Xenopus tropicalis: one gene and its partner. The protein of the gene in region 1 interacts with the protein of each later gene in a pairwise test. Links are inferred from orthologs where the notes say so. Each region holds a gene or a part of one and is shown in the gene's direction. Other genes may lie near its edges.

Evidence for each region. The genes of interacting proteins can lie anywhere in the genome.
Region 2: the proteins of meox2 (region 1) and pacsin2 interact in binary tests that used the Homo sapiens proteins (3 or more experiments, as listed by UniProt). The two-hybrid records come from large-scale screens. The link is inferred for Xenopus tropicalis from reciprocal best matches to the Homo sapiens genes MEOX2 and PACSIN2.

Annotation. Positions count from the first base shown.
Region 1 is NC_030682.2:36,891,068-36,894,776, reverse strand, and holds the start of meox2 (homeobox protein MOX-2), read left to right. Parts: upstream 1-888; 5' UTR 889-1,038; coding exon 1,039-1,543; intron 1,544-3,709. UniProt on the Homo sapiens protein: Mesodermal transcription factor that plays a key role in somitogenesis and somitogenesis and limb muscle differentiation. Required during limb development for normal appendicular muscle formation and for the normal regulation of myogenic genes.
Region 2 is NC_030679.2:3,829,049-3,832,803, forward strand, and holds the start of pacsin2 (protein kinase C and casein kinase substrate in neurons protein 2), read left to right. Parts: upstream 1-1,451; 5' UTR 1,452-1,493; intron 1,494-3,755.

The DNA of each region.
Region 1 (3,709 bases):
TTCTATGCTGGTACAACAAACTAGGCTTCTGTGCCATAGGTGAAGGGGTTAATGAGTATTTATGCTGATGAATAGAACAATATTGTGTTACTGTGCAGTAAGCAGTACCTGGAGCAGATTTTAGGGACAAACATCTGAAAAACACAGGTGTGACTTTTAGTTGGGAAAACACACATGTTTCCTATTTACTAAGAGGATGTTACATCTTCCTATTTCTGAAAACAATTTGAGGAGAACATTACTCAGGTTCTGCGTTACTCTCGCCAAAAGAGAACAATGTATACTGCTTACTTCCCGCTGTATAAAACTGCACATATATGTCCTATGTTGGTAAAAAGTTATAACCTAGTGCAGCTGGCAGGGGATTCTGGGAGTTATAGATTCAGTAACAGTAGGTTAATGGTGCCTTAGTTAAAGCTATTTATATTGTATCACATTCACTACACAGAACACTAAAAAAGAAATAAAATGGCATGTATTGCTTGGCATGGCACAATACTTTCCAATTGATTTCTTACGGTAGAATGAGCTTTTTGTCATTGTGTCAGTATATGAATTACTAAGACCTGCGTGCAGTTTCTCTATATCCATATTAGCAATGGGCAGAACCGGTTTAAGTTGTACATAGACAGTGCAGTGATGCTGTCGCAACTTGGAAGGATCTGTGAGTGCTAAAGTTTTGGAGAGAGTTTGTGGTCAGTACTGTGTTGCTAAGCCAGCCCCCAGCTCACATTACACACTATTTATATCCTCTCTTAGCTGTTCCCCCATTAAAGCAGCTCCTTGGGACCACCTTCTGTTGGCTTTAACCTCTCCTACTCTTGACATCTGAGCAGCTCTGCAAAAGCTCATCTTGGTCAGAGCAAACTGTTTAAGCACAGGAGACTGGCCACCAGGCTGAAGACCTGGATTATCTGATCTGTACTGAAAGTGTGCCGTTACTGTTTGGGAAAAATATCATTTTACAGTGAAAAGTGACAGCGTTGTGGAGTTTAATCCTGCCAGAATCTCAAGCCTGCAACTTGAAACTTGTATGCCATGGAACACACACTGTTTGGCTGCCTGCGCAGCCCCCATGCCACCTCTCAGGGCTTACACCCCTTTGCCCAGTCTTCTCTTGCCCTCCATGGAAGATCCGACCACATGTCCTATCCTGATTTATCCTCTTCTTCGTCCTCTTGCATATTAACTGGCTATCCCAATGAGGAGGGCATGTTTGGGAGCCAGCATCACAGAGGACATCATCACCATCATCACCATCATCATCATCACCAGCAACAACAGCACCAGACCTTGCAATCAAATTGGCACATTCCTCAGATGTCATCTCCTCCTGCCTCCACCAGACATAGCCTTTGCCTTCAGCAGGAATCTGGACCTCCAGATCTAAGTGGCAGCCCCTCTATTTTGTGTTCAAACACATCCAGCCTGGGCACTAACAGCTCAACGGGTGCAGCTTGTGTGACAGGGGACTATGGCAGACAGACCCTCTCCCCGGCAGAAGCAGAAAAGAGGACTGGCAAAAGAAAAAGTGACAGTTCAGGTAAGGATATTTGTGTTTACAATGTCTGAGCATGCAGCAAAAAGGAAATATATATTAGCTGGTAATTGTGATGCCTTGTATTGGATTAGCACTGCATTGCAGAAAGTGGCACAGCAGTGGTGCAAACCTAAGCAACTGTATGCCTAGGATATGCCATTAGCATCCATGCATACGGCAGCTTCTTCTGACAGTTCAAATTGAGCAGAGAGGGGTTTTTCTGTTGCTCAAAGCTTTGTGTTCGTACTCACTGGCAAATGCATTTAGCAGTGTAAAAAGTACTAGTTAGACACTTGCTAACTAGCATGTATACAATATTTCAGACATGTGCAGCTTGCTAACACTATAGGAATGTTATAAACGCTATGCAAGACATATTATAAGTAAAAAGTTTCTATTTAAACAGGAAATACTTGTATATTACATTACAATACGAACGGGCAGAAATAGTTCCCTCTTTTCAAGTCTTTCCTGGTGTATTCCTATGTAACAATCCTGTCAGTGTCAAAAGAATATCAAATTCCTTTAATAAGCAAGATTGAATCCAAGTATCATTTTTTCATTTGAAATTACAATCTATTTATTGACACAATCCTTCAGAAACCCGTGCTGCACTCCATCCTTATTCAGCCTGATCCAGTATCACTGCAGTATTATAACAAGAAATGGAGATCACTTGTTGACTCCTGTTTCTCTCAGCAGCCAAACTATTACAAATGCAATTTTATGGCAGATAAAAAGACAATTGGCACATTTAGACTGCCCATTCCCCCTTCCTGCAGGAATAAAATAGAGAGATTTCATCCCAGGGAGGGCAGCCTTTTTTGCCCGTCCCAGCAACTGCAGAAAGGTGTTAATTATATTATCAGCTAACACCTCCTCTGGGAAAGCCATATACACAGTCTGCATCAAATTAAGAGTTTAATTAACAAAGTGCAAAGTGATGGGTAATATTTGCTTTAATTCAGTCACATAAGCCACTTCAGTGAAATCAGTTCTTTTGAGCCTATTACATCACTTTCACTGATCAGAATCTCTGGCAGACCATAATAATATATACATTTTTAATCCGCTGCATATCAATAGTGATATGAATAACTACCAATCAATATCTAGAACTGAAAAAGTCAAATGATTCATAACAGACACCTTCCGTCATACCTGAAATACCCCAAACAGACATGAACACTAAAATCCTCTTTTCCATTTCCATTTAAAATGGCAAATTCTAGTAAAAGAAATACAATATACGTGATACTTGCATATCAGTAGCATAAGAAATGAACATAGTATATCACACTGAATATAAACATAACTGAAATATGTATTATATGTTCCAGTTCATTGGTGATTTCGATGCTTATCATATATATATTTATATATATAAAGTGGAGTAGCTTTATCCTGCTATTAGATGATGGCGAGAGATAAGTGCAACTATATTAACTCACTAATCAGACAAGTGGTCAGTGGAATAAGTGAAAGCGAAGTCATAATTGGAGATGACCTGCTTACCATTCCTAATTAAGTCTTATGAGATATTCTGATTGGGATGAATGGTTATTCAATAATTATAAGACATGAATGACAAATGAGTAATTCGTGACATATGTTTGACCTTATTTTTTCTTCCAGGCTTGGGGCTTTAAACAAGACAACTTTTCAAAAGTTATTATTCCAGTGTTTAATTAGTCTGTCTAGGCTTGCAATGCTTTTAAACCTCTCCCCCCCCTTCTGTTTTGTCTGTTTAGGGAAGATAACATTGGCAAGCGTTTAAAGAAAATAAATTACCAGGAAATCTATACCTAATCACAGAGCAAAAATGACAAACTAGCTTCATTAACCACGGTGTATCCAATAACTGGGTCCTGGCGAATTTGAGAAACTGCTGTTCTTTCTTTTAGAGTCACTTCACAAACAATTGTTTTAAGGGCATTTGGTTTCTGGAGAAATGAAAGGATGGCTTTGTGAAACAGTATACCTATCCAAATTATACAATCTAGAGTCAAAGTTAATGGCCCGGACCGTGTCCTATCCATTATATGTGCATATTTCGACATAGAAAAATCTAAACTATGGGCGTCTAGGGGTTGCTGAACTGCAATCATCAGCCTTTAGCCTTAGGCTGTGACGAGAATGCTGTAGTTTATCAAGAGCAGGAGGGCCCCA
Region 2 (3,755 bases), on another chromosome or scaffold:
CACTCCCCCGTGCAAAGGAAGCAGAGACAGTCACACGGGTACCGGGAAATACACTCCCCCGTGCACAGGAAGCAGAGACAGTCACACGGGTACCGGGAAATACACTCCCCCGTGCAAAGGAAGCAGAGACAGTCACACGGGTACCGGGAAATACACTCCCCCGTGCAAAGGAAGCAGAGACAGTCACACGGGTACCGGGAAATACACTCCCCCGTGCAAAGGAAGCAGAGACAGTCACACGGGTACCGGGAAATACACTCCCCCGTGCAAAGGAAGCAGAGACAGTCACACGGGTACCGGGAAATACACTCCCCGTGCACAGGAAGCAGAGACAGTCCACACGGGTACCGGGAAATACACTCCCCCGTGCAAAGGAAGCATAGACAGTCACACGGGTACCGGGAAATACACTCCCCCGTGCAAAGGAAGCAGAGACAGTCACACGGGTACGGGAAATACACTCCCCGTGCAAAGGAAGCAGAGACAGTCACACGGGTACCGGGAAATACACTCCCCCGTGCAAAGGAAGCAGAGACAGTCACACGGGTACCGGGAAATACACTCCCCCGTGCAAAGGAAGCAGAGACAGTCACACGGGTACCGGGAAATACACTCCCCCGTGCAAAGGAAGCAGAGACAGTCACACGGGTATTGGGAAATACACTCCCCCGTGCAAAGGAAGCAGAGACAGTCACACGGGTACCGGGAAATACACTCCCCCGTGCAAGGAAGCAGAGACAGTCACACGGTACGGGAATACCCCCGGGGGGGGAAATACACTCCCCCGTGCAAAGGAAGCAGAGACAGTCACACGGGGTACCGGGAAATACACTCCCCCGTGCAAAGGAAGCAGAGACAGTCACACGGGTACCGGGAAATACACTCCCCCGTGCAAAGGAAGCAGAGACAGTCACATGGGTACCGGGAAATACACTCCCCCGTGCAAAGGAAGCAGAGACAGTCACACGGGTACCGGGAAATACACTCCCCCGTGCAAAGGAAGCAGAGACAGTCACAGGGTTACCGGGAGATACACTCCCACAATCCTTTACTTCCCAAAGCACACTTTTATTTATAATATAACACAATAAACCTTAAACATTTGAATTTTGTATATTTTAAACCAAGGTATTCAGTAATCTGCCCTTCCTACTAGGGAGCTTTTACACAGATTTCCCATAAGTATTCGGACACTACAGTGGTTCTGCTTGATTCCCAGCCCCACAGGGGCAGCACGGCGCTACTATTGCCTACAGATTATGAGCAACTGCGGTCACGTGCGTTCCAAGCCTCGATGTCGCCAACAATTTCTCTCTCAGGGCCTGGATGCGAAAGCGAGGCTTGGAATACAGGCTTCCCAGGCGGCCAATCAGCTTGCAGCAGTCGTGGTATGTGGGTGTGAGGGAGGGGAGTGCCTGGGAGGCAGCGGGAGCTCGATCCTGACAGGGAACCGCGGACACGGGAGGGAGAAGCCTCGGTTACCGGGACGGAAGGTACGTGCGTTTGGTCACGGAGTGTGGGAGATATGGGGGAGCCCCGGGTGTAATGGCGGATGGATATAGCTGTGTATGTAGTCCCGCTGTGTGCGCTGCCCTGGATGTGGGTTAGTGTCAGAGGTGCAAGGGTTATACGTTATAGGCGGGGGCGGGGCTATATGTTGGGGTAAGAGGGTAAGTATTGGGGTACGGGGTAAGTATTGGGGTACAGGGTAAGAGGTGACTGGGAGAATTAGTTATATATATTTGATATGTGTGTGTGTAATATAAATATATATATATATCACAGGGTTATACTGTTTGTGTTATAGGGGCTGCTGGGAGTTGTATTGTGAGGGAGGGGGGCTGTATATGTAGTTTGGGGGGGCAGGAAGGTAGGCACTAAGTATTATAAATGGGGTGACCTGGACTTGTGTCGGGGGGCCCCTTCTGCACTTTTTCATCATGGAACGGTAACCCCCGAAACCGCTTTCACTTTCCGTCATGTTTGTACTTCAGAGCAAATCTTTCCCTTTATAATGGACTGCTCCTTACCTGTAAACCTAAGACTATCAGCCTGGGGGGGGGTGTTGTTCATATAGAGCTCACTATCAGCGCTCTTGTGATTGCAGAGAGGAGGCGGGGGTAGGAGTGTCACATTTGCCCCTATAGCCCGGGTGCTGGCACCTATATCAGGGGCGCTGCCAATGCTGGGGTAGTGTAATTACTTACCCCCCCAGAGAAGGGGCGGAGGGGGGGGGAGAGACGTTTCCGTGCGGTTCTGGCACGCCTTTACTCTCACTTCCATAAAATGTTTTTCTTTTATCTAATTGGCTCTCTTTGAACTACATCTCCCAGCATGCAACTGTAGCTGAACTTCAACTCCCAGCATGCAAGCTGCTCCCGTCTTGGGGGGGGCTAATGATGTTTACATTGCCGGTGAGTGGGCTAATGAGTGCTAGGGGTGGGCTACGGAATTCGGGCATTCCCCGAGTGGGACTTGGCCACCTCTGTGTGACGGAGCCTCGGGGAGAATCCCCACTCCCAGCAACGCTGTAAATTGTGATTCATGTTAAATAGCAACCGCTCTCTCCCCGGCTGTGACGCAATCGCCTTGGTATGTAATACAGAGTGTTCCCTCTGCCTGACCCCCACCGTGCACAGTAAGGATCGCTCAGCTACCCCCATGCTGTCAGATAGTAGAATTGATGGTATTGGTGGAAACTGGGGGGCCCTAAATGGGATTTAACGTTGGCACCCACGGTTGCCATACGACCCGGCAGATATTCGGTCTTCGTTTTTCATTCCTAGTAGTTTTCAATTTTTGTTCAGCAGTTTGGCGTTTCATCAGCTATCTGGTTGCTAGGGTCCAAATGACCTTAGCAACAGGAGGGCGGTTGGGATGAGAGACGGGAATATGAACAGGGGAGGGGCTGAACAGAAAGATAAGGAATAAAAAGTAACAATAACAATAAAACTGTAGCCTCACAGAGCAATAGGGTTTGGCTGCCGGGGTCAGTGACCCCCCCATTTGAATGAGTTAGAAGAGGAAGGCAAATAATTAATGAAGACCAATTGAAAAGTTGCGTAGAATTGGCCATTCTGTGACAAACTAAACATTAACACAAAGTTGAACCACCCCATTAAATTTCAGTTGGTCTTCATTTTTTTTTATTTATCATTTTTAATGTATTAGCCTTCCTCTTCTGACTCTTTCTGGCTTTAAAAAGGTGGGGGTCACTAACGCCCCCCCCCTTCTACAATGACCCAGTGGGGCACCTAGCAGTACAGGGAGACGCCTATGATACACGCGTGTGCAAATCAACAGGACAAGGTTTCCAAGAGGAACTGAAAGACTGAACCTCCGGGACTTCCTGCAGGTATGAGCTCATATACAGAGGTTCTGCTTGGTTCCATATAGCGCTGGTTCTGCTACTGGGCATTGGGCTTTATAGTGCAGTCCGTATGGTTTCGGGCCGGATGCAGGCTCGTTATATATACATATTTGACCCAATGCAGTAGAGGCGGGCTTACACGGGCAGATTTCAGCTGCCAATTCGGATCCTTTATACTAATTGGTCAACTTATCTGCCCATCTATGGGCACCCCTGATTGGCCTTCCTGGCCTAAAATTGGGCAGCTTTGGTATCAGGGGCCACACTGGCTCGTTGATGTGTTCCTCAGTCCAACATGTACCCGTTAATCATTTGGCCCGCCCAAGGTCCGCTCAATGTATGAGGCCATGACCAATCAGATTGGACATGTATGGGGCCCCCAACG